4 linked regions of the Anolis sagrei genome follow. The protein of the gene in region 1 binds, or shares a complex with, the protein of each later gene. Links are inferred from orthologs where the notes say so. Each region holds a gene or a part of one and is shown in the gene's direction. Other genes may lie near its edges.

Region 1 (7,785 bases):
GGAGATGGTGTCAGAGACAAGAATGGGATTGTCATTTACTATTTCTATACATGTTATATATGAAATACTTTATATGCACACTCGCAATATTTGCTTGGAAATTAGTGCTGGCTGAAATAACCATGTCCAGCACAGTGCAAAAAAGCGTTTTTGTTGTTGTTTCCGTTTTCCCACCCCTAAAACTGCCAAGAAATTGGGTTCTCGGATTTTGTGCAAGTTGAACAGAGCTATTAATGGGAAACTCCTGAAACAAGAAAAAGCCCTACAAAGAATTAAAATAAATCTTTTTAAATTTTACGCCACACTGTACAGAGATATTTGGGGTTATCCTACGCCCTGAGATTTCAATGCCGTGAGGATGCAAGATAAAGTTCTAAGGGTTGCTGTGAGTTTTCCGGGTTGTTCTAAGCTTTGAGACAATGACCAAAAGAGTCCTTGAGAACCCTTTGGAAAGGTGACCATCATTTCTGGCTGCCCAAAATAGAAGTCATGTTAGTGAAGCAACGGAGTAGCCAAATTGTTTGGTTCCGCTTTAACTGCCATGGCTCAATGTATAGAATCATGGGAGTTGTAGTTTTCTGAGGCATAGCTGTTAAAGTGGCACCAAGATAGCTAAAACTGTGTTTGTTGTTCATTCGGTCAGTCGTTTCCGACTCTTCGTGACTTCATGGACCAGCCCACGCCAGAGTTCCCTGTCGGTCGTCACTGCCCCCAGGTCCTTCAAGCTCAATCCAGTACTTCAAGGATGCCATCCATACATCTTGCCCTTGGTTGGCCCCGCAACCATAACATTATTGCTACTTTCATATTTGTAATGTTGCTACTGTTATGAATTGTAATGTAAACATCTGATATGCAGGATGTATTTTCATTCACTAGACCACATTTGGCCCAAATTCGAATACTGGTAGGGTGACGGGGGGGGGGGGGGTGATTTTGTCATTTGGATGGACTCAAACAATGATGTATCTGGACCTAACTTGGCAGAAATACTCAATATTCCCTAATCTGAATACTGGTGGGGTTGGCAGGGGAATTGTCACTTAGGAGTTGTAGTTGCTGGGATTTATAGTTTACCTACAATCAAAGAGCATTCTGAACTCCACCAACAGTGGAATTGAACCAAACTTGGCTTGCAGAACTTCCATGATCAACAGAAAGTATTGGAAGGGTTTGGTGAGCATTGACCTTGAGTTTTTGGAGTTGTAGTTCACCTACATCCAGAGAGCACTGTGGACTCAAACAATGACGGATCTGGACCAAACTTGGCACAAATCCTCAATATGCCTGTTCTGTCACGTGCTGGGCCTGTAACAGCTGTCTTTTCTATAGGACGTATACTTTAAGCCCAACAGGAAGCCTCAAAGAGAGGTTCTCAGGGATTTTTCTGAACTAATGGTCTTTAGAGTCTTTAATGATAAAACAAAGTCTTTATTATGGAACAAACAACAAATCTTCAATGGTTCAAACAACACTTCAAGTCTTTCTTAGTCTAGTCCTCAATGGACTGGTACCTGACTTTAATTAACTGTACTTTCTCTGTAGGAAAAAAAACCCTATTTAACCTCTCCCAGGCTGTTTACTATCTATGCCTCATTGGTGTGGGTCCTACTACCAATTCCAAATGTGTCTGGGTATCGAGTAGACCTACCAGCCGAGGCTTGTAGTCATTTCAGATGGAGTTCCATGGATCTGTAGTTCTATCCTCCCTCAGAGAATTCTTTTAAAACCTCAGGGTTGTTTTCCCTCTGATTGCTGTGAGGCTGAGAGGCTATGAGCTCTCAGCCAGAGCCTTGGGACCTTTTCCCTGGAATATCTGTTTATGTTTCCCCGGATGTTCTTGAGAAAAGAAGCTTTTCTACGGGACGAGCTGGTCTACATCCTATAGTTTAGCTTCCTTATGTGAGACTGCCAAAAAAAAATGGCTCCTTTCCCTCCCAGAGTCCTGAACAAGGGGCGGAACCAAAGCTTAATTATGATGGACAGGCGGCCTGCCCTATGACTGCAAACAGATAACAGAAAGAAAATAAAGTTGGAGCTCCTGGTACAGCTGTACCAGCACAATGCCCAAATATGAACACTGGTAGAGTTTGGGGAAAATAGACCTTGACATTTAAGAATTGCAGTTGCTGGGATTTATAGTTCACCTACAATCAAAGAGCATTCCGAACCCCACCAACGATAAAATTGGCCCAAACTTCCCACACAAGAACCCCCATGACTAACAGAAAATACTGTGTTTTCTGATAGTCTTTGGGGACCCTTGCGACCCCCCCGAAGGGTCCCGATCCCCAGGTTGAGAAACAGTGGCCTAAGTAAGTAATAATCTATTTCAAATCTATAATTCTATGAAAAACCCTTTCAAATTTCAAATTCAGATTGGATTACTGTAATGCGCTCTATGTGGGGCTGCTCTTGAAAACGGCTCGGAAATTCCAACTGGTTCAACGGGTGGCGGCCAGGATGTTAACGGGCGCTCCTTACAGAGAGAGGTCAACCCTTCTGTTTAAGGAGCTCCATTGGCTGCCGTTTACCTACCGAACCCAATTCAAGGTGCAGGTGCTTACCTACAAAGCCCTAAACGGTTTGGGACCTGCCTGCCTGCGTGACCGCATCTCCGTGTATGAACCCACACAATCCCTTTGTTCATCCGGAGAGGCCCTGCTTACGATCCCACCTGCGTCACAGGCGAGTTTGGTGGGTACGAGGGACAGGGCCTTCTCTGTGATGGCCCCCCGACTCTGGAACACCCTCCCCAAAGACATTAGACTAGCACCCACGTTGGCAGTCTTCAGGAAGAATCTGAAGACCTGGCTATTCCGATGTGCCTTTCCGGAATAGGATAATCTCCAGCACTACGTCCCAGAAGCACTTTATTAGAGTTTAGGACTCTCTGCACATTGCACTTGCCCGGAAATCCAAAATACCACCTGCCACACCCAGCACTTTTTTAACCTGTACCCATCACTGGCCCGGCCCTGGTTTTTATTGCGTAATTGATGTATTGTTTAGGTTCTTGTGGGTTTTTTCAGGCTATAGGGCCATGTTCTAGAGGCATTTCTCCTGACATTTCGCCTGCATCTATGGCAAGCATCCTCAGAGGTAGTGAGGTCTGTTGGAATTAGGACAATGGGTTTATATATCTGTGGAATGGCTGGGGTGGGGCAAAGAGCTCTTCCCTGCTGGAGCTAGGTGTGAATGTTTCAACTGACCACCTTCATTAGCATTTGAAGGCCTGGCTGAGCCTAGGAGAATCTTTTGTTGAGAGGTGTTAAGATGTGCCTGGTTGTTTCCTCTCTGCTGTTTTGCTGTTGTAATTTTAGAGTTTTTTAATACTGGTAGCCAGATTTTGTTCATTTTCATGGTCTCTTCCTTTCTGTTGAAATTGTCCACATGCTTGTGGATTTCAATGGCTTCTCTGTGTGGTCTGACATTGTGGTTGTTGGTGTGGTCCAGCATTTCTGTGTTCTCAAATAAAATGCTGTGTCCAGTCTGGTTCATCAGGTGCTCTGCTATGGCTGACTTCTCTGGTTGAAGGAGTCTGCAGTGCCTTTCATGTTCCTTGATGCGTGTCTGGGCGCTGCGTTTGGTGGTCCCTATGTAGACTTGTCCACAGCTGAATGGTATACGGTAGACTCCTGCAGAGATGAGAGGATCCCTCTTGTCCTTTGCTGAACGTAGCATTTGTTGGATTTTCTTGGTGGGTTTGTAGATTGTTTGTATGTTGTGTTTCCTCATCAGCTTCCCTATGCGATCAGTGGTTCCCTTGATGTATGGCAGAAACACTTTTCCTCTGGGTGGATCTTCATCTTGACTCTCGTGGCTTGTTCTTGGTCTTGCAGCTCTTCTGATGTCTGAGGTGGAGTCTCCATTGGCCTGGAGAGCCCAGTTGAGGTGGTTCAGTTCATCTTGGAGGAGGTGGGATTCGCAGATTCTTTTTGCACGGTCTGCCAAGGCTTTAATGGTGCTTCTTTTTTGACTTGGGTGATGGTTGGAGTTTTTATGTAGATATCTGTGTGTGTGGGTTTTCTGTAAACGGTGTGACCCAATTGTTGATCTGGTTTACGGATGACTAGGACATCTAGAAAAGGCAGTCTTCCTTCCTTTTCTTTTTCCACAGTGAACTGGATGTTTGGGTGGATGCTGTTAAGATGGTCCAGGAACCTGTTGAGTTCTTCTTCTCCGTGGCTCCAAATGGTGAAGGTGTCATCCACATATCTGAACCATATCGTGGGCTTTTTGGTTGCTGCCTCCAGGGCTTGTTTTTCAAAGTGTTCCATATAGAAGTTAGCTATGACCGGGCTGAGAGGGCTCCCCATAGCTACTCCATCTTTCTGTTCGTAGAATTCATTGTCCCACTGAAATAATATATTAATATTAATATTAATAATAATAAAATTAAAAAGGGTGTAACTTGAAGGCAAGCCTAGAAGGATTGAGATACCACAGTAGGCTATATTTCATAGGAAACAACTGCCAAAGCCACCTCGTCTCAGAAAACCCTATTCAAAACCATGCATCTCATATGTCGCCCTCGGGCTGAGAGGGGCGGTCAATAAATGCAAATAATAAATAAATAATAATAAAAATAATAAATATGTGAAGCAGATGATGCAAAGGCAGGCGGGAACAAGAAAGAGGGAAAATGTGCCCATTTCCAAAATGGCTGCTTGAGCATCGCTCCGGCTTGAACATCCACTTCCCCTTTGTCTTAGCGACCGCTCTGTCCCTAAAGAGCTTCAAACCGGAAGTGTGCTCACATTATCTCCGTCCCTCCGTCCCCCAGGGAGAGACTTCCGGTTGCCTATTTGAGACGCCTTTCTGGCTGATGTACTGGCCGGGGAGATGTCAGACACATGGAGCTCGATCCAGGCTCACAAGAAGCAGCTGGACTCGCTGCGGGAGCGGCTGCAGCGGAGGCGGAAGCAAGAACCCCTGGGTAAAATATAATAATAGCAATAATAATAATAATAATAATAATAATGAAGGCCGGAATGGTTTTGTGGTGGTTTGAATGGGAAAGCAAAGGCCATTTATGGGCTTGTATGTGTGAAAAGGGGGTGAAGGTAAAATGGAGAGAATCATAGAATCAAAGAGTTGGAAGAGACCTCCTGGGCCATCCAATCCAACCCCATTCAGCCAAGAAGCAGGACTATTGCATTCAAATCACCCCTGACAGATGGCCATCCAGCCTCTCTACCTCTCTCAACCTCACTACCTCTGAGGATGCTTGCCATAGATGCAGGCGAAACGTCAGGAGAAAAATTGCCTCCAGAACATGGCCATATAGCCCGGAAAAACCTACAACAACCCATCCAGCCTCTGTTTAAAAGCTTCCAAAGAAGGAGCCTCCACCACACTCCGGGGCAGAGAGTTCCACTGCTGAACGACTCTCACAGTCAGGAAGTTCTTCCTCATGTTCAGATGGAATCTCCTCTAGCTTTCCAGGGCTTTGGACATCAGTTAATCACTGTAGAATGAATGCAGTTTGACCCCACTTTCTCTGCCTTGGCTCTATAATATGTAATCTTGGGAGCTGTAGTTTGGTGAGGCACCAGCACTCTTTGCCACAGAAGGCCTTGCAAAACTACAACTCCCATGTAGTTCTGCTGACCGAAAGGTCGGCAGTCCGAATCCAGGGAGCAGGGTGAGTTCCTGTCTGTCAGCTCCAGCTTCTCGTGCAGGGACATTTATTTATTTATTTATTTGCTTCACTTGTATACCGCTCTTCTCAGCCATCAGGTGACTCAGAGCGGTTAACAACCAGTATCAACAACACAGTACAAAATCATTAATCATTTAAAACAATTAAATCAATTAATTAACATCAGAACATCAATACAACAATACAGGAAAACAACAATCCATCACGTCTCATCGATAGAATCAGCATCCGATCTCGTTGTCCATTAATCCATATTCCAGAAATCAATCAATTGCACTGCTTAGTTGAAAGCTTGTTCGAAGAGCCAGGTCTTCACTCTCTTCCTGAATGTCAATAAGGAGGGGGCCGATCTAATGTCTGTAGGAAGGGCGTTCCACAGCCGGGGGGCCACTACTGAGAAGGCCCTGTCTCTCGTCCCCGCCAGGTGTGCTTGTGAAACCAGCGGGATCGAGAGCAGGGCCTCCCCAGACGATCTTAACGTCCTAACTGGTTCATAGGAGGAGATGCATTCGGACAGATAGGTCGGGCCAGAACCGTTTAGGGCTTTAAAGGCTAAAGCCAGCACTTTGAATTGTGCCCGGTAGCAAATTGGCAGTCAGTGGAGCTGGCGCAACAGAGAAATGGTATGCTCCCTGAGAGCCGCTCCTGTTAGCATCCTGGCTGCCGACAGTTGGACCATTTTAAGCTTCCGAGTAGTCTTCAGAGGCAACCCCACGTAGAGAGCGTTGCAGTAGTTTATACGGGATGTAACCACAGCGGACTACAGTGGCCAAGTCAGACATGAGAGAAGCCTCCCACAGGATGGTAAAACATCTGGGCAAAATCCTCTCAGACAGCCAATTCTCTCACACCAGAAGCGACTTGCAGATCTTTGGGTCCTCATGAACAACAAGTTAAACATGAGCCAACAATGTGATGCGGCGGCAAAAAAGGCCAATGGGATTTTGGCTTGCATCAGCAGGAGTCTAGTGTCTAGATCCAGTTGGAGTTAGAGAGTAGCTCAGACGAGTTCTTTACTATTAAGAAATGTAGTTATCATTTTTGTAAATAAACCTTTTGTAACTTTAAAGATTGAACTCTGCATCTTACCTCCTAAACTCTAAATTCTTTCCTGGCCACAACACTTCACGCTCTGCTTGCTGTGAGCTGTGAACTGAATGCTCAATTATAAGTACTCTATTTGTGTTTTTGGATGCTCTGCTAACAAAAAAGACCCTATAAAATTCATGGAGTCAGCATAAGTTCACAAGGTGATGAAGGTACACTAAGTTTGGAGAAACCAACAAAACTGAGGGTCATAAAAACTGTATAAAACTGTGTGCTAGTTTGATATACATTTGGTGCTCTAAATCCAAAAATGACCTCAGATTTCCTCCACATTTTTATTTTGGAATATGTGACTAAGATTTCTATGGGTAATACAATGTACCAGGGATGGAAATCACATGGCATCTGGGTATTGTTGGACTGTCCTTCCCAGTTCAGCCATAGTATGTGTTGGATTTATTTATTTATCGTGTCAGGGGCAACCAGACAATTGTATTACATTTCTAACAGAACAAAACAAACAAACAGACAAAACACAAAATTTGCAAGCTTGGTAGTTGATTAAATGTCCTTTGACCAGTATCTGGCCACTTGGAGTGCCTCTGGTGTTGGATGAGGCTGCTGGGAATTCCAATCCAGTTGGCCCGGTTGAATGTCAAACAAGGCTGAAGGCCAAGGAAAGAATAAAGTGAGGACAGCAGGTTGAAACAGAAATGGAGTAAATGACAAAATGTTTCTTGCATGGACAGTGCTATTGTGTCTTCTTCCATCCTCTTTCCAGACCTCAGGAATCCAGAGCTGGCCCTCAGCCCTCCCTTCCGCAGTGACAGCCCGGTCTCTTCGTCTGTCACACCCAGCACTGCTACTGAATCTGGGGATCTGGTAACAGACCCTGAGCTTGAGAAGAAACTCCTTCATCACCTTTCGGATCTGGCACTGGCGTTGCCCACAGATGCCTTGTCCATCTGCCTTGCCATTTCAACGGTGAGAACAAGGCACCAACATTGCTTGAGGCCTGTCAGCAACATTGCTTGAGGCCTCCTTTTGTGGAGGTTAGGGGTGCAGGACCCATG
Region 2 (7,625 bases), on another chromosome or scaffold:
CCCCTGCCCTAAAGATCCTGTCTGATCTTGGAAGCTAAGCAGGGTCAGCCCTGGTTAACACTTGGATGGGAAACAGCCAATGCAATCCAGATGCTATAGGTTGTGATTCAGAGGAAGGAACTGACAAAAATAGGCCTCTTTGCATTCCTTGCCTAATAAAACCCTGTGAAATGAATGGGGCCACCATAAGGCCATATATCCTGTGCTTGTCCTTAGCAGATCTAGTTATCCCATGCAAGGCACCACCAATTACCTCGGTATGTGTCCTGCCCTTGAAAGTACAGGGTTAAAAAGAACCAGGTGCATTCGCGTGGCATCCGCCGCTATGCATCTCTTGTATCTCTATGGTGAAACTACCAGTGGCTTTGCATTGGGAACCACAGATAGAACGAGATCGCTTGGGGATCGGAAGTAGGAAGTTGACACTCACATTCCTACCTCTATCTCTCTTCGTCCATCTCGGCCGAAGCGGAGTGCGACGCATAGACTTAGTATAGATAAACCCATCAGCTCATGACTTCCGGGCTTAATTGAATAGGTACAACTCCTAGGACTCTTAAGTACATTGAGCCATGGCAGTTAAAGCGACGTCGAATTGCAATCATTCTACAGTGTAGCTGCAACTTAGGAAACTAAAGAAATAATAAATCTGGTGCACGTTAGGAAATAAAAAAAATATAATAAATCAGATGCACCTTAAGAAATAAATAATAATATAATTAATAATAATATATAATATTGTTTCTATCTTTTCTATTAAAATAATAATAATATATAATATTATTATCTATATAAATAAAAATGGAATGTGGGCACCACAATTCAAGAGAGATATTGACAAGCTGGAATGTGTCCAGAGGAGGGCGACTAAAATGATCAAGGGTCTGGAGAACAAGCCCTATGAGGAGCGGTTTAAGGAGCTGGGCATGTTTAGCCTGAAGAAGAGAAGGCTGAGAGGAGATATGATAGCCATGTATAAATTTGTGAGAGGAAGCCACAGGGAGGAGGGAGCAAGCTTGTTTTCTGCTGCCCTGGAGATTAGGACGCAAAACAATGGCTTCAAATGACAAGAAAGGAGATTCCATCTGAACATGAGGATGAACTTCTTGACTGTGAGAGCCGTTCAGCAGTGGAACTCTCTGCTCCGGAGTGTGGTGGAGGCTCCTTCTTTGGAAGCTTTTAAACAGAGGCTGGATGGCCATCTGTCAGGGGTGATTTGAATGCAATATTCCTGCTTCTTGGCAGGGGGTTGGACTGGATGGCCCAGGAGGTCTCTTCCAACTCTTTGATTCTATGATTCTATGTTTGTTTATGGGATTAACATAACTCAAAAACCACTGGACAAATTGACACCAGATTTGGACACAAGACACCGATCAGGCCAACAAGAACAAGCCCTATGAGGAGCGGCTTAGGGAACTGGGCATGTTTAGCCTGAAGAAGAGAAGGCTGAGAGGAGATATGATAGCCATGTATAAATATGTGAGAGGAAGCCACAGGGAGGAGGGAGCAAGCTTGTTTTCTGCTTCCTTGGAGACTAGGACGTGGAACAATGGCTTCAAACTACAAGAGAGGAGATTCCATCTGAACATGAGGAAGAACTTCCTGACTGTGAGAGCCGTTCAGCAGTGGAACTCTCTGCCCCGGAGGGTGGTGGAGGCTCCTTCTTTGGAAGCTTTTAAGCAGAGGCTGGATGGCCATCTGTCAGGGGTGATTTGAATGCAATATTCCTGCTTCTTGGCAGGGGGTTGGACTGGATGGCCCATGAGGTCCCTTCCAACTCTTTGATTCTATGATTCTATGTTTGTTTATGGGATTAACATAACTCAAAAACCACTGGATGAATTGACACCAGATTTGGACACAAGACACCGATCAGGCCAACGAGAGACCATCACTCAGAAAAACAATGAAAAACATAACAGAAGGGACTTAAAAAGTAAAAATAAAATAAAATACATGACAACTTCTATATATACGCAAACATACATATATACACAAATATATACACACTCAAAGCACATATACAGAGACTGGGCCACAGCAACGCATGGCAGGGAATGGCTAGTTTATATAAATAAAAATGTAATGTTCAGTTCTTGTGGGTTTTTTCGGGCTATATGGCCATGTTCTAGAGGCATTTCTCCTGACGTTTCGCCTGCATCTATGGCAAGCTTCCTCAGAGGTGAGGAATGTTCGTTTGTGGGATTAGCATAACTCAAAAACCACTGGATGAATTGACACCAAATTTGGACACAATACACCTCTCAGGCCAACAAGTGACCATCACTCATAAAAACACTGAAAAACACAGTGGAAGAGACTTAAAAAGCCAAAACAACAACGACAACATTACAATGCATGCACAAAACCACATGTATACAAATATACACATACATACACACACAAAACACATATACACAGAGTGGGCCATAGCAATGTGTGGCAGGGGATGGCTAGTGTATTATAAAAAAGTAAATAAGACTTGAGTGTGCCTTTATCACGGGGGGGGGGGGGGGAGTCTCTTTTTCTAATGTTGAATCCAACACCTTATGTGTTCAAGAAAACTTAGGAAGGATAAAATTGTTAATTAACAATAAGCTGTTTATTAGAATATGTATTCATTCATTCAAGCTATTGTGAAGGAATCAAGAATTGTTGCTTAAGTCTTATAAGATCTACACTCCTAAGTTTTTTTAAATAATTATGCCAATTACTTTCAAATAATATAAAGTAGTTTTTACTTTAAAAAATCTTCAAACATCTGAACTATATATATATAATTAAAGGCTTGATAAATTTAAAAAAGAGATAAATAAGAATAAACCAGATGCACCGTGTTGTTTATTCGTTCAGTTGCTTCTGACTCTTCGTGACCTCATGGACCAGCCTACACCAGAGCTCCCTGACAGCCGTCACCACCCCCAGCTCCTTCAAGGTCAAGCCAGTCACTTCAAGGATACCATCCATCCATCTTGCCCTTGGTCAGCCCCTCTTCCTTTTTCTTTCCATTTTCTCCAGCATCATTGTCTTCTCTAAGCTTTCCTGTCTTCTTATTATGTGGCTAAATACTTCATCTTGGCCTCTAATATCCTTCCCTCCAGTGAGCAGTCGGGCTTTATTTCCTGAAGTATGGATAGGTTGGATCTTCTCCCGGTCCGAGGCACTCTCAGAAATTTCCTCAAACACGACAGTTCAAAAGCATCTATCTTCCTTCGCCCCGCCTTCCCTATGGTCCAGTTCTCACATCCATATGTTATTATGGGGAATACCATTGCTTTAACTACGCGGATCTTGGTTGCCAGTGTGATGTCTCTGCGCGACCGCATCTCTGTCTACGAACCCAAGTGCAGCAAGTGTAGTTACTGGGATGTATAGTTCACCTACAATCAAAGAGCATTCTGAACTCCACCAATAATGGAATTGAACCAAATATGGCACACAGAACTCCCACGACAAACAGAAAATATATATCAATGATTGGTTGGGGGGGGGGGGGCACCAAAATACTGTTTGCTTACTGTTGAAAATTACCTAGGGCCGCCTCTGGCCGTATGCCTTTCCCAATCTTGCACCATAGGAAGGAAAAAAAATACACGTCTTTCCTTACTGCCTTTCCCTTTAAAACAGTGTTTCTCAACCTTTCTAATGGCGCGACCCCTTAGTACAGTTCTTCAGGTTGTGGTGACCCCCAACCATAAAATTATTTTTGTTGCTACTTCAGAACTGTAATTTTGCTACTGTTATGAACCTTAATGTAAATATCTAATATGCAAGATGTAATTTGGCACAAATACACCAAAATTTGAATACTTGTGGGGCTGGGGTGTGTGTGATTTTGTCATTTGTCTGCCTCATGTTTTTAAAATGTGTCGTTTTGCTTTTTTGAGTTATTTATTGTTTTGCTGTTGTTGTTTTATGGTGTTATTGGGCTTGGCCTCTTGTAAGCCACACCGAGTCCTGCGGGAGATGGTAGCAGGGTTTAAGAACAATAAATAAAAATAAATAATAAATTTAGGAGTTGTAGTTGCTGGGATTTATAGTTCACTTCAATCAAAGAGCATTCTGAATTCCACCAGCACTCTCATGACCAACAGAAAATGCTAGAAGGGTTTGGTGGGCACTGACCTTGAGTTTTGGAGTTGTAGTATACTTACATCCAGAGAGCACTGTGGACTCAAACAGATGGATCTGGACCAAACTTGGCACGAATACTCAATATGCCCAAATATGAACATTGGTGGATTTTGGAGAAAACAGACCTTGACATTTGGGAGTTGTAGTTGCTGGGATTTATAGTTCATCTACAATCAAAGAGCATTCTGAATTGATGGAATTGGGACAAACTTCCCACACAGAACCCCCATGACCAACAGAAAAAACTGTGTTTTCTGATGGCCTTTGCTTACCCCTCTGACACCACCTCCCAGGTTGAGAAATGCTGCTTTAAAACAAGTCATTCTTCGTGCACCACAACCTGGAAGTTTCACTCCTTACTAAAATCCATAGCCAGAGTTCAATTTCTTCCCAGAGGAGAAAAAAAAACTGCCTGAAGAAACCCGCTAGTGTCCTCTGCCGCTGGGAATCTATATTTTTGCCTGTCTCTATGTTCGCGCCCCTCGCGCGCTCTTTCCGGCCCCGCCCACCCGCTCGCGCCAGGACACTTCCCGTCCAGAGTGCCCTGCCTCGAATCATGGACCACAATGGTGAGCGCTTGGCGGGCGTTGGAAAGGAGGGAAGGCCCCTTTTTCGGAAGACCCGACGCATTCCCCCGCTTTCGCCCCAGCCTCTCTCCCTCTCTCGTCGTCCACAAGCCGCCCAATTTGAGCGGGAGGGAGGCCTGAGGGAGCGGCGAGGCCTTTAGAAGCGTTGAGGCCTTGTTTGAAAAGAGCGGCCGGCGGGGGGGGGGGGGGGGGGGAGGTGTGAAGGAGGCTGCGCAGGCGCACTTGGGCCTTCGTGACTTGAGGCCTAGCGCGCTTTGAGGGGATTTGGGTTTTCCCATGATAAGGAGAAGAGGCTCAATTTGAGCGGGACGAGGCCTTCAGAGAATAGCAAAGTCCGCGCTAGGCCTCTTCCTCCTTGCCGTGTCTGCCTTTCCTTACCCCACTGCTTCTTTTTGCCTCCCTCTTCTGCCCTGGGAGTTCTAAGTTTTACCAGGCATTTCGCCTTCTCTGCCACTTAGGCAGAAAAAAAAATATTGTGTCAGGAGCAAACCGAACAGTTGTATTTCATTTTTTATTTGCTTGCTTGCATGCTGCAAGTCGCTTCTGGTTGCATCTGTGGCAAGAGAAGTCTACGAAGACGTTGCTCAGGGGACGCCCGGATGTCTTGCAATCCTGCGAGGAGGCTTCTCTCATGTCCCATGTCATGTCTCTCATGTCTCATGTCAGCAAGCGAGAGTCCAAAAGTGGCAGGCTCAAACCTAGCACCTCAATCCGTGGGTGACTCCCTTCTGGGCACACAGAACACTGGGCGACTTGGAAGGTGCTGAACAGACTGTGCTCTGGCACCATGAGATGCAGAATACTATAATATAAATGGGTTCCTGAATCATCATCATCATCATCACTTTATTTCTTAATTAGTCGCTCTCCACCAAGGTGCTCCGATCGACTTACAATTTAAAACAGTTTATACACAATATAAAACATTCAATATAAAAACATTCAATATAAAAACATTCAACATAAAAACATTCAACATAAAAACATTCAGCAGTGACTATGGCAAAATTTGATCCGGTTACTTAAATGCACAGCCAAACAGCCAAGTATTGAGCGCCTTTGCAAAAGGTTGCAACTCCGACATTGCTCTAATATATGGAGGCAATGAGTTCCACAGAATTGGAGCATTGATCGAAAAAGCTCTACGCCTTGTAGCTTCCAAATGTGCCTCCCTAGGAGCCGGTATGTATAGGAGATTTTCCTGGGTGGATCGAGGTGGCCGCTGATGGGGAAAAGGAAAGATTGAATGCATACAACAAAAATACCACTTGTATAACATAAACAATAATATAATTCAACAACAGTATATAAACATGCTGCACTGTTAACCTCACAGCGACAACAAACAACATGGTGCAGATTTTTAGTACAGTCATATCTTCTTATAAGTAGCTTGTGGATCAGCCGTCCACGATCGGTTTCGGCCTACCTCAGGCCTTCCTCTGGTGGACTCAAATTAATGTACAAATCAATGTTTTACTCCAGTAGCATACATATAGAACATCTGTATCATTAAATATCATAAGTTACAACACATTTAAGTACTTACAAAGTTATACACTATAACTTATGATTCTATGAGTGCTAGTGCCTCAGCATACAACAAGTCCCTTTATTTATCGTGTCAGAAGCAAATTGGGAATACAGTTATAATGCATAAAATACTACAAGCAGTTAAGTATTTGAATGTGTCTGGTGTCGCTGAAAGGAGGTCCTCTAATGTGGTACGGTCCAAGGTCTTTCGCCTTCTCTGTCAAAAGGTGCTGGTGCCTAACCAAACTACAAATCTCAGGTTTTACAACAGCACCCTTAGTTTGCAAAAGTTTATTCATGGATCAGTATTCAAAGGGATCTAGTAGCACCTTTGAGATTAACTGAGAAAAAAAGTTGGTAGCATAAACATTTATAAACTGAAGTCTACAAAAGCTTATGCTTCTGACATCTTTCTTTCAGTCTCTTAAGGTGCTGCAAGATCTTTGTGTCTAATCTTACCAGTACGAGAGATGATTGATTGTTGTTGTGTGCCTTCAGTTCGTTTCCACCCTGAGTTAACCCTATCACCTGGTTTTCTTGGCAAGCTAAGAGGAGGTGTGCCATTGCCTTCCTCAGGCTGAGAGAGTGGGAATTCACCAAATTCACCAGTGAGTTTCCAGGCTGAATGGGGATTTGATCCTTGATCTCCAGACACTCAAAACACTGCTTCAAGCTGGACCATAGCAGGAATTAAAAGTTCAATGTTGGGGGTCACAACAATTTGGCAGCAGTAAATGAATGCCACCTAGTTGCACAAATTTGTCTTGTGGTGAAAACAAGGATTGATGATAGTTTCAGTTGAGATACCTTTCCCCTTCATAATTCTTTTAGAAGTAAATTTCCCTTCTGAGGGGAAGGTTTTTTTCACTTCCTGTTCTCTTAACTATGAGTTGTTTGTAAATTGAACGTTAGCAACCAGGGGACTGCCTGTACACATGAGTCTCTGTATTAAAATATTTAATTGAAATAGCTTCCTTCACTAGAATACATTTATGGTTTCTGTTGACTAAGTGGTTTAGTAGCAACACTTGCGTCTGGGAATTTCCTGTGAGACAAGTATTCTACCATAATTGGAGACAAACCCATTTTAAGAATGTACACAAAATAAAGGTCTGACAGCATCTACAGTGTAGATTGAATACAGTTTGACACCACTTTAACCGCCATGACTCAATGTGATGGAATCATTGGAGCTGGAATTTTACAAGATATTTAGCCTTTTGTGTCAGTAAGTGCTGTGCCTCTCCAGACTATAAGTCCCAGGATTCCTTAGCATCCAGCGATGGCAATTAAAGTGGTGGCAAACTGCAATAATTCCACAGTGTAGATGAACTCAAAGTGTGCTTATTTGTTAGAACACAAACAAAA
Region 3 (6,902 bases), on another chromosome or scaffold:
CATTTAGGTTTCTCATTAGATCTTCCTGGTGTGCCATCACACTCCCTGAGCGCCGCTCCTGTAAGCAATCTGGCTGCTGTTTGTTGGACTCATTGAAACTTCTGGACCGTCTTCAAAGGCAACCCCATGTAGACAGCATTGCAGTAGTCTATACAGGATGTAACCAGAGCATGGACTACCGTGGCCAAGTCAGACTGCCCACGGCACGGGCGCAGCTGGCGCACAAGTTTTAACTGTGCAAATGCTCCCTTGGTCACTGCCGAAACCTGAGGTTCCAGGCTCAGCAATAAATCCAGGATCACACCCAAGCTGCGAACCTGCATCTTCAGGGGGAGTGTAACCACATCCAACACAGGCTGTAACCCTATGCCCTGTTCGGCCTTGCGGCTGACCAGGAATACCTCTGTCTTGTCTGGATTCAATTTCAATTTGTTTGCTCTCATTCAGACCGTCACAGCAGCCAAGCACCGGTTCAGGACCTGTACAGCCTCCTTAGTAGCGGGTGACAGAGGAGTTGTGGTTCCTATGAAGCTTTTCCTTGATTTGAGTCTACTGGGAGGAGGCTGATAGCCATGCAGTGGGTGGCTTTAAGTGTTCAACCTTATTTCTCTCACAGTTAGCAGCAACTTCCCGTTGCACATTGAGTGGGGAGGGGGGGCAATGCCAGCTAGCTTGTAGAGTTTATCAACAAGTGTAGGTTTGAGACATCCTGTGATTATTCTGCATGTTTCATTCTGTGCTATGTTCATCTGCTTCACATAAACAGACTTATGCAAGCAGGGCAGGCATACTCAGTTGAGTAAGACAAGGCCGGAACTGATGTTCTTATTAATTTTGGGTCTGTTCCCCATGCACTGCCAGTAAGTTTCCACACGATGTTATTGTGTGGGGCTGCTTTGTGCTTGGTGTTCATGTAGTGTTTCCTAAATGTTAGTGTTCAATCTAAGATGATGCCAAGATATTTAGGATGGAAACGGTGTTTGACCTCTTGGTCTTCCCGCGTAACTTTCAATTTCCTGCTAGCTTCGTGGTTCTGTAGGTGGAAAGCACACAATTGTGTCTTGGCAAAGTTAGGCTCCAGGTGTTTATCATTATAATAGCTGGAGAGATCTTTCAAGGCATTAGTAAGTTGGTTTCTGACTGTTTCAGTTTTTTTGCTTGTGTTGTTATGCCAAGGTCATCAGCATATATAAAGCTCTTTGAAAGTGGTGGCTATGGCTGATCGTTAGTAAAGATGTTAAACAAGGTTGGTGCAAGAATGCTGCCTTGGAGTGAACCATTCTTTTGCCTCCCCCATCTACTTTTCCTGCCTTGAAATTCCACAAAGACGCTGCAGTTTTCTAGAAGGATCTGGATCGTTTTTGTGAAATCAAAGTTCCAGGTAATATGGTAGATTTTATGCAACATATTTCTATGTTGCACCGTGGCATAGGCTGCTGTTAAGGTCCACAAAATTATTCCCATAATTGTTCATAAATCAACAGATTTACCTACCTCCACAACATGTTCGTAATACTTGTGGAGACAATTCTACACCACCCTGCTGCTTTCAGATACCAATTCAGTTATAACCCATAATGTTGCAAAGTTCTGTGCAGCAGCAATTAAAATCTGCTATATAATGACTGGCTCCAAAAGTTAGCAATCTAACCATCTGCTAACTAAAATATAAATTAGTGCCCTCCTCCCCTAGACTTGTGCCCTGAATGTTCCTAGGCCCCTCCCATCAATTTTCCTCTCTCTCCATCCCATGCTAGACCCTTCCCCTTTTGTTTAGGAAACTAAGCTGGAATAATAAGAAACACCATGTTTATGGACAGGAACAAACTGCAATATAATGACATGCCACAAGAATGTGAATGCATATTATTGTTGTTTTAAACTCTTTATTTTATAATATTTTATACTTATCATTGGTGTATTTGGATTGTTGTTTACATGATTTTAATATGTTGTAAGTTGCTTTGGGTCCCATGAGGGAGAAAAGCAGGATATAAAGATTTATTATTATTATCACCATCATCATCATCATCATATTATTATTATTATTCTAGATAATTTTGTGCTGCAGCCTTCAACATACCTGTTTTCTAGACTTTTAGATTTTGATGTACAATGCTTTTATGAGACTGTAACCCTCTCCTCATGCTGGCCTATGACCATAATAAAGATTTGTGTGTATGATAATGTCGAGATCCAAGTCTCACTATGCAATAATAAGATAAGGGGAGAATCATTACTGTTTTGAAAGTGTTGTTTCCTGTATAATTGTGTGGTGCTTCCTTTGAAAGTAGTTGTTATACTCCAGAAACTCCATTTCTGTGGCTGCCACAAACTATGTTGAATTTGTTGAGTCTCTATGGACCCTTCCACACAGCCCTATATCCCAGAATATCAAGGCAGAAAATCCCACATTATGTGAGTGTGGACTCAGATAACCCGATCAAGGCAGATACTGAGGGCTTTTCTGCCTTGATATTCTGGGATATAGGGTTGTGTGGAAGGGCCCTCAGATAAGCCAGTTCAAAGCAGATATTGTGGGATTTTCTGCCTTGATATTCTGGGATATAGGGCTGTGTGGAAGAGCCTTCAGACAAGCCAGTGCAACGCAGATATTGTGGGCTTTTCTGCCTTGATATTCTGGGATATAGGGCTGTGTGGAAGAGCTCTGAGATAAGCCAGTTCAAAGCAGATATTGTGGGATTTTCTGCTTTGATATTCTGGAATATAGAGCTTTGTGGAAGGGCCCTATGGGGTATTAATTGAAAAACTGTTGCAACATGTGCTGCACGAAGTCCCACAAAAACAAAGTTTTTGCAGGTTAATAAACCTTTACCATGTTTTTATGATAGGACCAATTAGGAAACAACATTGATAACAGAGGAACAAAAATGCTGTTGCATAGTGGTGAATTTTTTCCAGAGGCCTCCTGGGACCAGCTTGGAAGCGGTTGATGCAATAGTGTCATTGGAAAGTTGAGTTCCTGTATTAACAATGGTGCTGTTGGGTGCCACGAGGCCCAATCTTGTTCCCAGAACAGTGAACCCATTGGCGTCTGCTGGGACGTGGGCCGAGGACCCTCGGGGGTAACAAAATCTGTGGGTGGGCAAGCTCCATTTCGTGTAATGGTGTAGTAAAATGGTGTCTCAGCTATAAAATGAGAGCAACCAAGGTTTGGCTTCAGGAACCCTTATATGGTTCATAGATTCATGCTGGTGTGTGGCTGAGGCTGGAACATAGGCATGGGCAAAGCTGGGCCCTCCAGGTGTTTTGGACTTCAACTCCCAGAATTCCTGACAGCCTCAGGTCCTTTCCTTTTCCCCCTCAGCCGCTTAAGCGGAAGGGGGAAAAGGAAGGGGCCTGAGGCTGTCAGGAATTCTGGGAGTTGAAGTCCAAAACACTTGGAGGGCCCAGCTTTGCAAATGCCTGCTGTGGCCCTTCCCGCCAGCCGCCCAGTCCGCCCGCGCCAAGGCCCTTTCCTCAACTCCCCTGGAAGAGCAGCGTGACGTCAATCGAGGCCGCGCTCCTCTCGTGCCCCGGAGAAGGCCAAGGAAGCAGGCCTCGCCTCAGCCTCCGCCAGATTACCTCACCGTCCAATCAGCTCACGGCACCCCAATCCCAGTCACCCGTTGGGACGGTTGCGATAGGCATGGCCACCATCCAATCAAATTAAAGCTGCTTGCGCGAGCTCCTCAGCCTCCCACCCCTCCCTGGAATTTTAAAAAACCAAAACCCAATAGCCAATGAACGCTACGGATACGGCTGTGAGAGAAATAAGGAAAGATTGACAGCACTCTTGTCCAACCCAAATGGAGAAACGGATTTAGTTACCCAGGCAATGGGTCTATGGGATGGCGGAGTTAGCGTTCCTCTCAACCCAACTTTTCCGAGCGACAAAAGGAAGGCCGATACAGGAAAAGGCGGGCTTTCCGCTTCCGGAGCATCGCACCGCCTGGTGCTTCCTCCCCCCACCACCACCACCGCCTCGCTTTAGATTGACAGGCGCTTCGTGCAATGAGGATGCCGAGGCGAGCGGAGAGGGCCCAATGGCGCCCGCATGGGCGGGGTTCCGAGCCTGCAGGAGATTCCAAGATGGCGGCGGGGGCTGCGTGAGGCGCGGTACTGGGCGCGCGCTTCCCTCTCGCTGGCGCCCGCCGCCATGAAGGGCAAGGAGCGTTCCCCGGCCAAGGCCAAGCGCTCCCGGGGCGGAGGGAGCAGCAGCGGCGGCGGTGGCGGCGACGACTCCTCCTCCTCCGTGCGAGGCGAGCGGAGCAGTAAGAAGCCGAGCAACGGCGGCGGGAAGTCGGCGGGCGGTGGCTCTGGAGAGGGCGGGAGCAGCAGCAGCAGCAGCCGCCGGGGCCTCCACTTGGAGAAGGCCAGCCGGGCCAGCAGCCGCGAGTACGAGGCGGTGACGGGGAGCGGCGGCGGCCGACATGGCTACAGCAACAGCAGCAGCAAGAACGCGGAGTCGTCGTCGTCCTCGCGGGGCAGCAGCAGCCGAGGCGGAGGAGGAGGCGGAGGAGGAGGAGGGGATTCCCGGGCGCCCCCTTCAGACTCCGGCGGCGGCAGTGAGTACAAGACGCTCAAGATCAGTGAGCTGGGCAACGCGCTGAGCGACGAGGCCATCGAGGACGGGCTCTTCCACGAGTTCAAGCGCTTCGGGGATGTGAGTGTCAAGATCAGCCGCCTCCCGCCCGGGACAGGCGCTGCCGACGAGAGGGTGGCCTTCGTCAACTTCCGCCGCCCGGAGGACGCCCGCGCCGCCAAGCACGCCCGAGGCCGCCTGGTCCTCTATGACAGGCCCCTGAAGATTGAGGCCGTCTATGTGGGCAGCGGGGCAAGCGGGCGGCGAAGGAGCAGCCGCTCCCCAGCCATCCTAGATAAGGACTCCCCTTACGGAGCCGCGGGCGTGGGCGTAGCGGGCGCCGCTCCCGCCGCCCTCAGGCACCCTCCGGCTGCCGCTCAGAGGGCCCTCTCTCCCGCCGGCGGAGGGGCCGGCCTGGGCTACAGGGACTTCCGGCTGCAGCAGCTGGCCCTGGGCCGCCTGCCTCCCCCGCCACTGCCCCGTGAGCTGGAGAGGGAGCGGGACTATGGGGGCTTCTACGACCGGGTCCGACCCGCCTACAGCCTGGAGCGTGTGGCTGGAGTGGCTGCGGCGGCTGCCTTCCGCGGAGTGGGCGGCACAGGGACGGCCAGCGAGGAGGAGATCAGCCCCGAAGACGACCAGCGGGCCAACCGCACACTCTTCCTGGGCAACCTGGACATCTCGGTGACCGAGTCGGACCTCCAGAGGGCTTTTGATCGCTTTGGGGTGATCACGGAGGTGGATATCAAGCGGCCGTCCCGAGGACAGACGAGTACTTATGGCTTTCTCAAGTTTGAAAATTTGGATATGGCCCATCGGGCTAAGCTCGCCATGTCAGGCAAAGTGCTGCTGTGTAATCCTATCAAAATTGGCTATGGCAAGGCCACCCCCACCACGCGGCTCTGGGTCGGTGGGCTGGGGCCTTGGGTGCCGCTAGCCGCCCTTGCCAGGGAATTTGACCGTTTTGGTACTATCCGCACCATTGACTATCGGAAAGGGGATTCCTGGGCCTACATCCAGTATGAGAGTTTGGATGCTGCCCAGGCTGCTTGTACTCACATGCGTGGCTTCCCCTTGGGTGGACCGGACCGCCGTTTGAGGGTGGACTTTGCTGACACAGAGCATCACTATCAGCAGCCCTATTTGCAGCCCTTGCCGCTTCCGCCCCCTGGCCATTATGAGTTGGTAGCAGAGACATCTGCCTTTGGGGCGCATCGTGGTGCACCACCTGATCCACTCCGAGGTGCACGGGATAGGACCCCACCACTGCTGTATGACCGTGACAGAGATTTATATCCTGAAACAGAGTGGGTTCCTCCCCCACCTCCAGTTCGAGACCGGGGCAACAGAGCAACTGTCTATGATGCACTTGAGAGCCTGGAACGCAGGCGAGACGGTTGGTCTCTAGAGAGAACTCGCGGGGAAAGGGAGTTAGGCGGTGGCAGCAGGGACCCACCCAGGAAGCGAAGACTGGTGGAGGATGGGGGACGGCATTTGGACCGTTCGCCTGATAGCGAACGGTCATCTTCTTCCCGCAAACGGCATTGCCCTACTGCAGCTTCTCCACAAGATCGTAGTCCTGAGCCTGGCATAGGCAGAGACCGCTATGGGAGTGATGCAGAACGGTCATCTTCCCGTTTGCTCCTGCTGGATCGCCATTCACCCATCAGAGAGTCACGTAGGGGTAGCTTGGAGAGAGGCCAAAATGAGAAGCGTGAGCACAAGAGTTCGGTAGAAAGGGAACGAAAACATCGCACCCTCGCAGTAGCTGCGGCTCAAGAGTGCAAGAGCCCAGCTAAAAAAGATGAACATGTCTCTGAAGGGAGCAGTGGCGGAGGATCACGCTTGAAACCTCCCCCTCAAAAGCAGCAACAGCAGGATGGAGGCTCAAAGTCTGGGTCATCCCCCAAACTCTGCCTGGCTTGGCAAGGAATGCTTTTGTTGAAGAACAGCAACTTCCCGTCTAACATGCACCTACTTCAAGGAGATCTGAGTGTGGCCAGCAGTCTCCTGGTAGAAGGAGCAACTGGTGGCAAAGTGGCCCAGCTAAAAATCACCCAGCGACTCCGTCTGGACCAGCCTAAATTGGATGAAGTTACTCGTCGCATCAAAGTGGCAGGGCCTAATGGATATGCTATTCTTCTGGCTGTGCCTGGAACCACAGACAACCGTGCCTCATCTGGGGCTGGTGATGCTAACACCACCTCCACACAGCGACCACTCAGAAACCTGGTGTCCTATCTCAAACAAAAACAGGCAGCTGGAGTGATAAGCCTCCCAGTAGGAGGCAACAAAGACAAAGAAAACAGCGGGGTCT
Region 4 (7,735 bases), on another chromosome or scaffold:
ACTTCTGTCCATAGTTCTTCTGGGACTCTGTTTACTAAATCTAGTCCTTCAAATCTGTTCTTCACTTCCACTGTATATTCGCTAGGAATGTTAGTGAGATCATATCTAACTGGTCTGTGTATTTTCCCTGCTCTCTTTAGTTTTATTCTAAACTGAGGAATAAGAAGTTCGTGATCTGAGCTACAGTCAGCCCCAGGTCTTGTTTTCACCGACTGGATGGATGTCCGCCACCTTTGGCTGCAAAGGATGTAATCAATCTGATTTCGGTGTTGACCATCTGGTGAGGTCCATGTATAAAGCCGTCTTTTAGGTTGTTGGAAGAGAGTATTCGTTATACACAAAGGATGTAATCAATCTGATTTCGGTGTTGACTATCTGGTGAGGTCCATGTATAAAGCCGTCTTTTAGGTTGTTGGAAGAGAGTATTCGTTATACACAGCGAGTTTTCCTGGCAAAATTCTATCAGCCTGCGCCCCGCTTCATTTTGTTCTCCCAGACCATGCTTGCCTGTGATCCCAGTTGTCATTTGACTTCCCACCTTGGCATTCCAGTCTCCTGTAATGAAAATAATGTCTCTTTTTGGTGTATTATCCAGTAGGTCCTGCAGATCCTCATAGAACTGATCTACTTCTGCTTCTTCAGCAGCTGTGGTTGGGGCGTATATTTGGATCAATGTAATGTTGAAAGGCTTTCCTTGCACTCGAATTGAGATCATTCTGTCATTTTTTGGGTTGTATCCAAACACTGCTTTAGCTAATTTCTTATTAATTATGAAGGCTACTCCATTTCTTCGGTGTTCCTCTTGTCCACAGTAGTAGATCTGGTGGTCATCTGATGTGAAGTGGCCCATTCCAGTCCATTTCAGTTCGCTGACCCCCAAAATGTCTATCTTTAGTCTTGACATCTCACCAATAACAACATCCAATTTGCCCTGGCTCATAGATCTTACATTCCAGGATCCTATGGTGTGCTGATCTTTAGCGCATCGGATTCGTCGTTCACCTCCAGTACCGTCGGCGCTAGCCTTCCTTTCGGCTTTGAGCTAGCTGCGTCGTCACATCTGAGGCTAGTTGAACTTATCCTCTGCTCCTCCCCAGCAGCATTTTGACCGTCCCGTCTTGGGTGGCCCTTCACGGTTTCGCTCATGACATCATTGAGGTGCTCAAGCTCCAGCGCCACGATCCTTTGCTGGAGATATATTATATTACATTATATTATATTACATTATATTATATGGTTAGCATAGCATAAGAGACAAGGTGGAACTGTCCCCTGGGCCCCCCTCTCTTCACTCTGGCCCAGAGCGGCAGTTGGTGCTTGGGGGAGGGGTCACCAACAGGATGGAACTGTCCCCTGCCCACCCACTCTTCAATCCGAAAGACAGTTGCATATGTCAAGTAGGAAATTTAGGTACCGTTTTATGCGGGGAGGCTAATTTAACTAATTTACAACACCATAAAACCTTCCAGCAGTATGTGCAGGAATGAGGAAGTACTCCATAAAGGATTCAGTGTCACAAGTGGATGGTGAAGCGGCAGCTCCCCGCTGTGGCCAGAATCGAGCATACCCTCATGAAGCCAGAAAGCTGGAATGTTAAACTGCTTCTGTGTCTGTCTATATAGCTTTGTGCCTAAATGGCACTGAAAGTTTGCCACGTATGTGTGCATACGGGACTCTGGGGTGTATGGCCACACAATAAACAGCTTTTTTGCAGTTTTAAGATCCAACTTCCGTGGTGTCCTTCCAAGCCCTCTCCAGTGGAAAGGGGACTCCTGCATTTCGGATTTGGATTTAAGGAGTATTTTGGATCTCTGCCCCTTCATCCCCACTATGCAGAAAAGAAATATTAGGAGGCTGCCATATATAATTTTGGTAGATGAACCCCCTACAGTGTGCCTGCTGTCATTGATGCCGCAGTAGACACTGGGGTTGAGCTGGCTTCTGGCTTTATTACAGTGTTCAGTCTTCACGTGTCGAATGCTGAAGAGGTATCCTTGGGATTATAAAGCTAGCATAGCCATTCATGATTCTGGCATTGGAAAGAGTATTCTGAGTGCCACAGTCTAAAATGGAAACTCTCTCAAGTTAAATTGCTGGGCATGTTTGGTCTGCAGAAGAGAATGTTGAAAAAAGACGTTATTGCCATGTTTAAATAAGTGAAAAGATGTCATAAAGAAGAGAGAGCTGGCTTGTTTTCTGCTGTCTTGGAAACTAGGACTAGGAGCAGGAAATGACAGGAAAGGAGATTCCACTTGAACATAAGGAAGAACTTCCTGACTGTGAGAGATGTTCAACTGCTTTGGGAGACAGTGGTCGGGCATCCGGACAGTGTGGCCGGTCCAGTGGAGTTGATGGTGGAGGACTGTCACTTCATTGCTGGTGGTCTTTGCTTCTTCCAGCACGCTGACGTTTGTCCACTTGTCTTCCAAAGAGATTTGCAGGATTTTTCGGAGCCAATGCTGATGGAATTGTTCCAGGAGTTGCATGTGATATCTGTAGATAGTCCATGTCTCACAGGCATATAGCAGGGTTGGGAGGACAATAGCTTTATAAACAAGCCCCTTGGTATCCCTACGGATGTCCTGGTCCTCAAACACTCTAGGCTTCATTCGGAAAAATGCTGCACTCGCAGAGCTCAGGAAAGTGTTGTATTTCAGTATCAATGTTGACTTTTGTGGAGAGGTAGCTGCCAAGGTAGCAGAAATGGTCAACATTTTCTAATGTTACGCCATTAAGCTGTATTTCTGGCATTGGAGAGGGATTGGCCAGTAACTGCTGGAAGAGCACTTTGGTTTTCTCGATGTTCAATGACAGGCCAAGCTTCTCGTATGCTTCTGCGAAGGTGTTTAGAGTGGCTTGTAGATCTTCTTCTGAATGCACAGATGACGTTGTCATCAGCATACTGGAGTTCTATAACAGATGTTGTAACCTTGGTTTTGGCTTTCAGGCTGCTAAGGTATTAGATTAGAATAGTTTTGATTAGGAAATGTGTGTGGGTAATCATGCTGTCACTTTCTCTTCTTTCTTTCAATGTTGATTAAATGCAACGGCAACATGTTAGGACAGGCTTGCCTCAACAGTACTTTCTGTTGTGAAATTTAGTTTGCTGAGCAAACAGGCTTTTGACAAGCTACTGTTTCTCTCCTTGAGCTCTATTTCTTCAGTCTGAGATAATTCCCACATTATTGACCACAGATAATTAAAAATTTACTCATAAATAAATGCATAGTAGTCATGATAAACTTACATCGCTTCTGTAGATTATGATTAACTGCCAAATTAAGGTGAAGTGCTTGTGTCATCAAGTGAAACATTTAGAGTAGTTAGTAAATCTACAACCAGGAATACTTCTGAACTTTGTTGCTTATTCATTCAGTTGCTTCCAACTCTTTGTGACTTCATGGGTCAGCTGTTGCCACCCGCAGCTCCCTCAAGGTCAAGCCAGTCACTTCAAGGATACTCTCCATCCACCTTACCCTTGGTCGGCCCCTCTTCCTCTTTCCTTCCATTTTCCCCAGAGTCATACTCTTCTCCAAGCTTTCCTGTCTTCTCGTTATGTGCCCAATGTCCTTCATCTTTGCCTCTAATATCCTTCCCTTCAGTGAGCAGCAGGACATTATTTCCTGGAATATGGACTGGTTTGATCTTGCTGTCCAAGGCACTCTCAGCATTTTCCTCCAACACCACAGTTCAAAAGCGTCTATCTTCCTTCACTCAGCTTTCCTTGTGGTCCAGCTCTTGCACCCATAGGTTACTATGTGGAATACCACTGCTTTAACTATGTGGATCTTCATTGCCAATGTGATGTCGAGATTGGTCATTGCTCTCCTCCCAAGAAGTAAACATCTTCTGATTTCCTGGCTGCAGTCTGCAGTAATCTTCACTCCTAGAAATACAAAGTCTGTCACTGCCTCCATGTTTGCTTGTTATCAATCAGCCATAATCTTGGGGTTTTTTTTGTTTGTTTAACTGCAACCCAGCTTTTGCACTTTGTTCTTTCACCTTGGTTATAAGCAAAATGTTAAAGCAATGTGAACAAAATGTTAATACCAAGAAACCACCACTTTGTGAGCACTACATAGGTAATCAGGAATGGATTAAGAATGCCTTTGGAAATCAAGCCCTATGAAATTTAGGGTGTTGGGTATGTTATGCTTTAAGAAAAGAAGGCCAAGAAAATACTTGATAATCGGGTTGTTGTAGGTTTTTCCGGGCTCTATGGCCATGTTCTAGAGGCATTTTCTCCTGAGGTTTCGCCTGCATCTATGGCAAGCATCCTTGATAATCATTTTTTAAATATTTGAAAGAATATCACATATTTTCTTCTACTCTAGAGACTAGGGCCACTTCCAAACAGCTATGGCCTAAACATTAGGAAGCACTTCCTAATTGCGAGATCTGTTCAGCAGTGGAACTCCCTGCGTCTGAGTATGGTGGAGGCTCCTTCTTTGGAGGCTTTTAAACAGAGGCTTTGAATGTGATTTTCCTGCTTCTTGGCAGGGGCCTGGATCGAATGGCCCACGAGGTCTCTTCCAACTCAATGGTTCTGATTTTAAACCCGGTACTGCATGCACTATGAATCCAGGCAACAGCCCTTCTCCGGCAGCCAAAAGATTCCTCCCAGGGCAGACGGGACTGATATCCCTCCGCGCTTCTGGTGTTTACTCCTGCAGGTGGCCAGATGGCCCGTTGCGGATCCTTCCGCCGCTTCCCTCAGCGCCCCAGCATGCTTTGCGAGTGCGCACTCTGGCGGGCGCGAGGAGGGAAGCAAGAGGCGCGCATCACGCCTTTCCCCCGGGGCTCCCCCCTCCCCCTCTGCAAATCTTATTTACTTCCCCTTCTCAGTGCCGAGCGCAAGAGGGAGTCAAAGGCCTTGACTCAAACACTGTTAGGACGCAGGGCGGGGGAAGGGGAGAGGAGGGCGGCGGCCTGGAAGAGCGCGAGACGAAGGACTCCCGTCCGTTGGTGGCTGGCTGGGCCGGTAAGTGCGGAGGAGGAGGTGGCGCGAGGCGGCGCGCGGGCGGGGCTGGGGAGGGGAGGGGGGAGTAGCGCGCGCAGGCAGAGGGAGCGAAGGGGCGGGGCCAGGCCCGCTTTGAGGGCTGCCGGCGGTTCCTGCTTTTTGATTGGACGAGGCGCGGAAGGGGCGAGGCGGCTCCTCTCGTTGCGCTCTCGCCGGCGCCATTTTGTAGCGCAGCGGAGGAGCCCCAAATATAAGAACGGGCGGGAAGCGCGTGCGGTGCTGCAGCCCCCCCTCTTCCTCCCCCCCCCAACCGGGAGGGTGAGAAGAAGCCTTGCCTCGAGGCTTCCGGCTCATTGATGCGACAGAGAAACCCTGCCTCAGGGGAAGTCGGTTGAGGGGGAGACGACGAGTGAGGACGAGGACGCCTTCGCGGCGCCGCCTCCACTGAGGTGAGGAAGGGGGGAATGAAGGCCCGACGCTTCAGGGAGGAAAAGACGACCGTTTCGCAAGATGGAGGCTGGGGAGAGGGGGGGGGGGGGCTCTGCTCTGGCGCTCCTGCGGCGTCGCCCACCCTCCTCTTTGGAGGGCCCGAGGCCGCCACGCCCGGAAGCGTTTCTTCCGCTTCCCGCAAAACACAGGCTTGTTTACTAGCGCGATAGGGATGGAGGGGAAAGGGCCTTACGCCTCGGCCTTGCCATCGACATCCAAAGAACGCCAGTTACCTTTAAAAAAGCCTATACGAACAAGCCTTTTGCGAGAATCTCTTGGTGCCACGATTTGGACCCACGCAGCGCCTGAGTTTTATGCTTCTGCGAATAAAGGCCGTGTGGATGGCTTATCTGGGAATCAAGAGTTACCCTCGTTTGCCAGTTTTCTTTAAAATAGTGATCTTGCTGTGTGCTTACTCAGGCAAAGGCCCGAATGGCCGTATTTTATTAGCCAGAAAGGAAATGACAGCTTGGGTTGTGTTCAGACGTTCATTTAAAGATGGGACCCATTTAATCTTTCCCCCACTGACATCCTTTGCCCGACCAAGTTTCAAGCAGGAGGCTATTATTGGGATACTAAATCCAGTGTTCATATTATGATTACGCGACTGAGGGGAAAAAAGGAAAGGGCCAGAGGCTGTTAGGAATTGTGGGGGTTGAATTTCAACAAAACACCCGGAGGGCCCAAGTTTGCCCATGCCCTGGTCTAATATCTAAATAGTAATAGCTGCATTGCCAGCAAATAATGCATAAAAATAGTATTTAAAGAAACCCAGGGTGGTCTTTAGGCTTTCTTTCAGACTAAGCAATTTTCATTGTAATTTATTTACTTACTTGACTTGTATACTGCCTTTCTCACCCCAGGGAGGGACTCAAAGTGGTTTCCAACTTATTTATGGCAAAATTGAATGCCTCACATACATATGAAACCTAACCTAAAACAACAATAACATGTAACTATTGATTTGGTCATAAATATGTAACCACATTTAAACATTAAAATGTGGAGTTAAAAACATATTAATATAAATGGTAAAATCACATAATCCAAAAATCATGGTCCAAGGCCGTTTCAAATATCAGGTGTACACAATCCCTGATCATTTCTTGACATTTACAGATAAATTATGTTTCAGATTCCAGGTTAGTATATGCTATGTTTATCTGACAAGACATGCAGCCTGCAGTTTAAAGTCTCTACCTACCATAACTGAAAATATTTCTTCAGTGGGCAGCCCTAAATGTAATGCTTGTGGCAGCTTGCACTCACATTAAAGGACTAGTGCTTACATATTAATACAAATATATAATACAAGTCCAGCCATTCATATATAGAACTACCTGTGCCTTGATGCTGCACCTATACAGACCAATGGTATTAGTTTACGATACACCTGAATGAACAAATATGCATTTATGTAATGTAGCATTTTAATACTGCCAAGACACCATGCCTAGGATTGTTGTGTTGCTTGGAGAGGGATGCTAAGCGTAGATCAGATTTTTGGGTATGGATTTTTTTAAAAATAAGAATAGTATATTGAAAAAGCAGTCTAGTCTCAATACAGTATTTTTGCACTCAACAAGTTGCAGTGTTCGTTGGACCTGTGAGATTGACATATGTGGCTTAATAGCATCAGATAAGTAGAGACCACATACACTTCAGTTAGCTCACTTATCAGCAATGTAACACTGACAACCAAGTTTTGTTAGTCAATGTAATAAAAAGGGGTTAATAAAATATTATTTCTGCACTAAATGACTACTTTTGCATTCAGAGATAGTAGGCTTTCAAAGTTATATCCAGTTGTGCCTGTCCACAACCAGGAAAGATGCTGCTTAAAAGAGAAGGTTTCCCTTCTCTTTTATGTACCATATATATCTACTTCAGAGAATCTTCTATTCGTTGTTGCCTTGCCTCACATGCCAAACAGAAGTAGAGTAATATAGGGTGGTTTTAATTTACTATAAACAAAGGTAGGCTTCCACAAAGCTACCGCACAAGCAACATTCTGCAATTTAGAGATCTCTTTTAGGAATAACCAGTCTTTACTTGAATACAAGACTTTTGAAAGTATAGTGTTTAGATAAAAAATATTACTGGCCTTTTGTGGACAAGTAATCAGATTCTATTAACAAAATTGGAAGTGGATCTAATTTCCCATTCCACTGTAGCATTCTTCCCTCCCTCATCTTGAACATCCTTAAAACATTTTCTAAAGAACTGGGAAAACTTTGGATGTGATTTCCCTGAATCGCAGTAGGATGTATTCATTTCTGCATATGC

The links.
Region 2: METTL3 (region 1) and CBLL1 share a complex: the UniProt entries of both Homo sapiens proteins name them as parts of the WMM complex. The link is inferred for Anolis sagrei from reciprocal best matches to the Homo sapiens genes METTL3 and CBLL1.
Region 3: METTL3 (region 1) and RBM15 share a complex: the UniProt entries of both Homo sapiens proteins name them as parts of the WMM complex. The link is inferred for Anolis sagrei from reciprocal best matches to the Homo sapiens genes METTL3 and RBM15.
Region 4: METTL3 (region 1) and WTAP share a complex: the UniProt entries of both Homo sapiens proteins name them as parts of the WMM complex. The link is inferred for Anolis sagrei from reciprocal best matches to the Homo sapiens genes METTL3 and WTAP.

The regions. Positions count from the first base shown.
Region 1 is NC_090026.1:10,920,822-10,928,606, forward strand, and holds the start of METTL3 (N6-adenosine-methyltransferase catalytic subunit), read left to right. Parts: upstream 1-4,779; 5' UTR 4,780-4,845; coding exon 4,846-4,939; intron 4,940-7,493; coding exon 7,494-7,696; intron 7,697-7,785. UniProt on the Homo sapiens protein: The METTL3-METTL14 heterodimer forms a N6-methyltransferase complex that methylates adenosine residues at the N(6) position of some RNAs and regulates various processes such as the circadian clock, differentiation of embryonic and hematopoietic stem cells, cortical neurogenesis, response to DNA damage, differentiation of T-cells and primary miRNA processing.
Region 2 is NC_090025.1:82,852,937-82,860,561, reverse strand, and holds the start of CBLL1 (E3 ubiquitin-protein ligase Hakai), read left to right. Parts: upstream 1-4,617; 5' UTR 4,618-4,693; coding exon 4,694-4,706; intron 4,707-7,625. UniProt on the Homo sapiens protein: E3 ubiquitin-protein ligase that mediates ubiquitination of several tyrosine-phosphorylated Src substrates, including CDH1, CTTN and DOK1. Targets CDH1 for endocytosis and degradation.
Region 3 is NC_090024.1:183,682,293-183,689,194, reverse strand, and holds the start of RBM15 (RNA-binding protein 15), read left to right. Parts: upstream 1-3,891; 5' UTR 3,892-4,057; coding exon 4,058-6,902. UniProt on the Homo sapiens protein: RNA-binding protein that acts as a key regulator of N6-methyladenosine (m6A) methylation of RNAs, thereby regulating different processes, such as hematopoietic cell homeostasis, alternative splicing of mRNAs and X chromosome inactivation mediated by Xist RNA.
Region 4 is NC_090021.1:68,271,151-68,278,885, forward strand, and holds the start of WTAP (pre-mRNA-splicing regulator WTAP), read left to right. Parts: upstream 1-4,735; 5' UTR 4,736-4,981; intron 4,982-5,139; exon of another isoform or gene 5,140-5,409; intron 5,410-7,735. UniProt on the Homo sapiens protein: Associated component of the WMM complex, a complex that mediates N6-methyladenosine (m6A) methylation of RNAs, a modification that plays a role in the efficiency of mRNA splicing and RNA processing.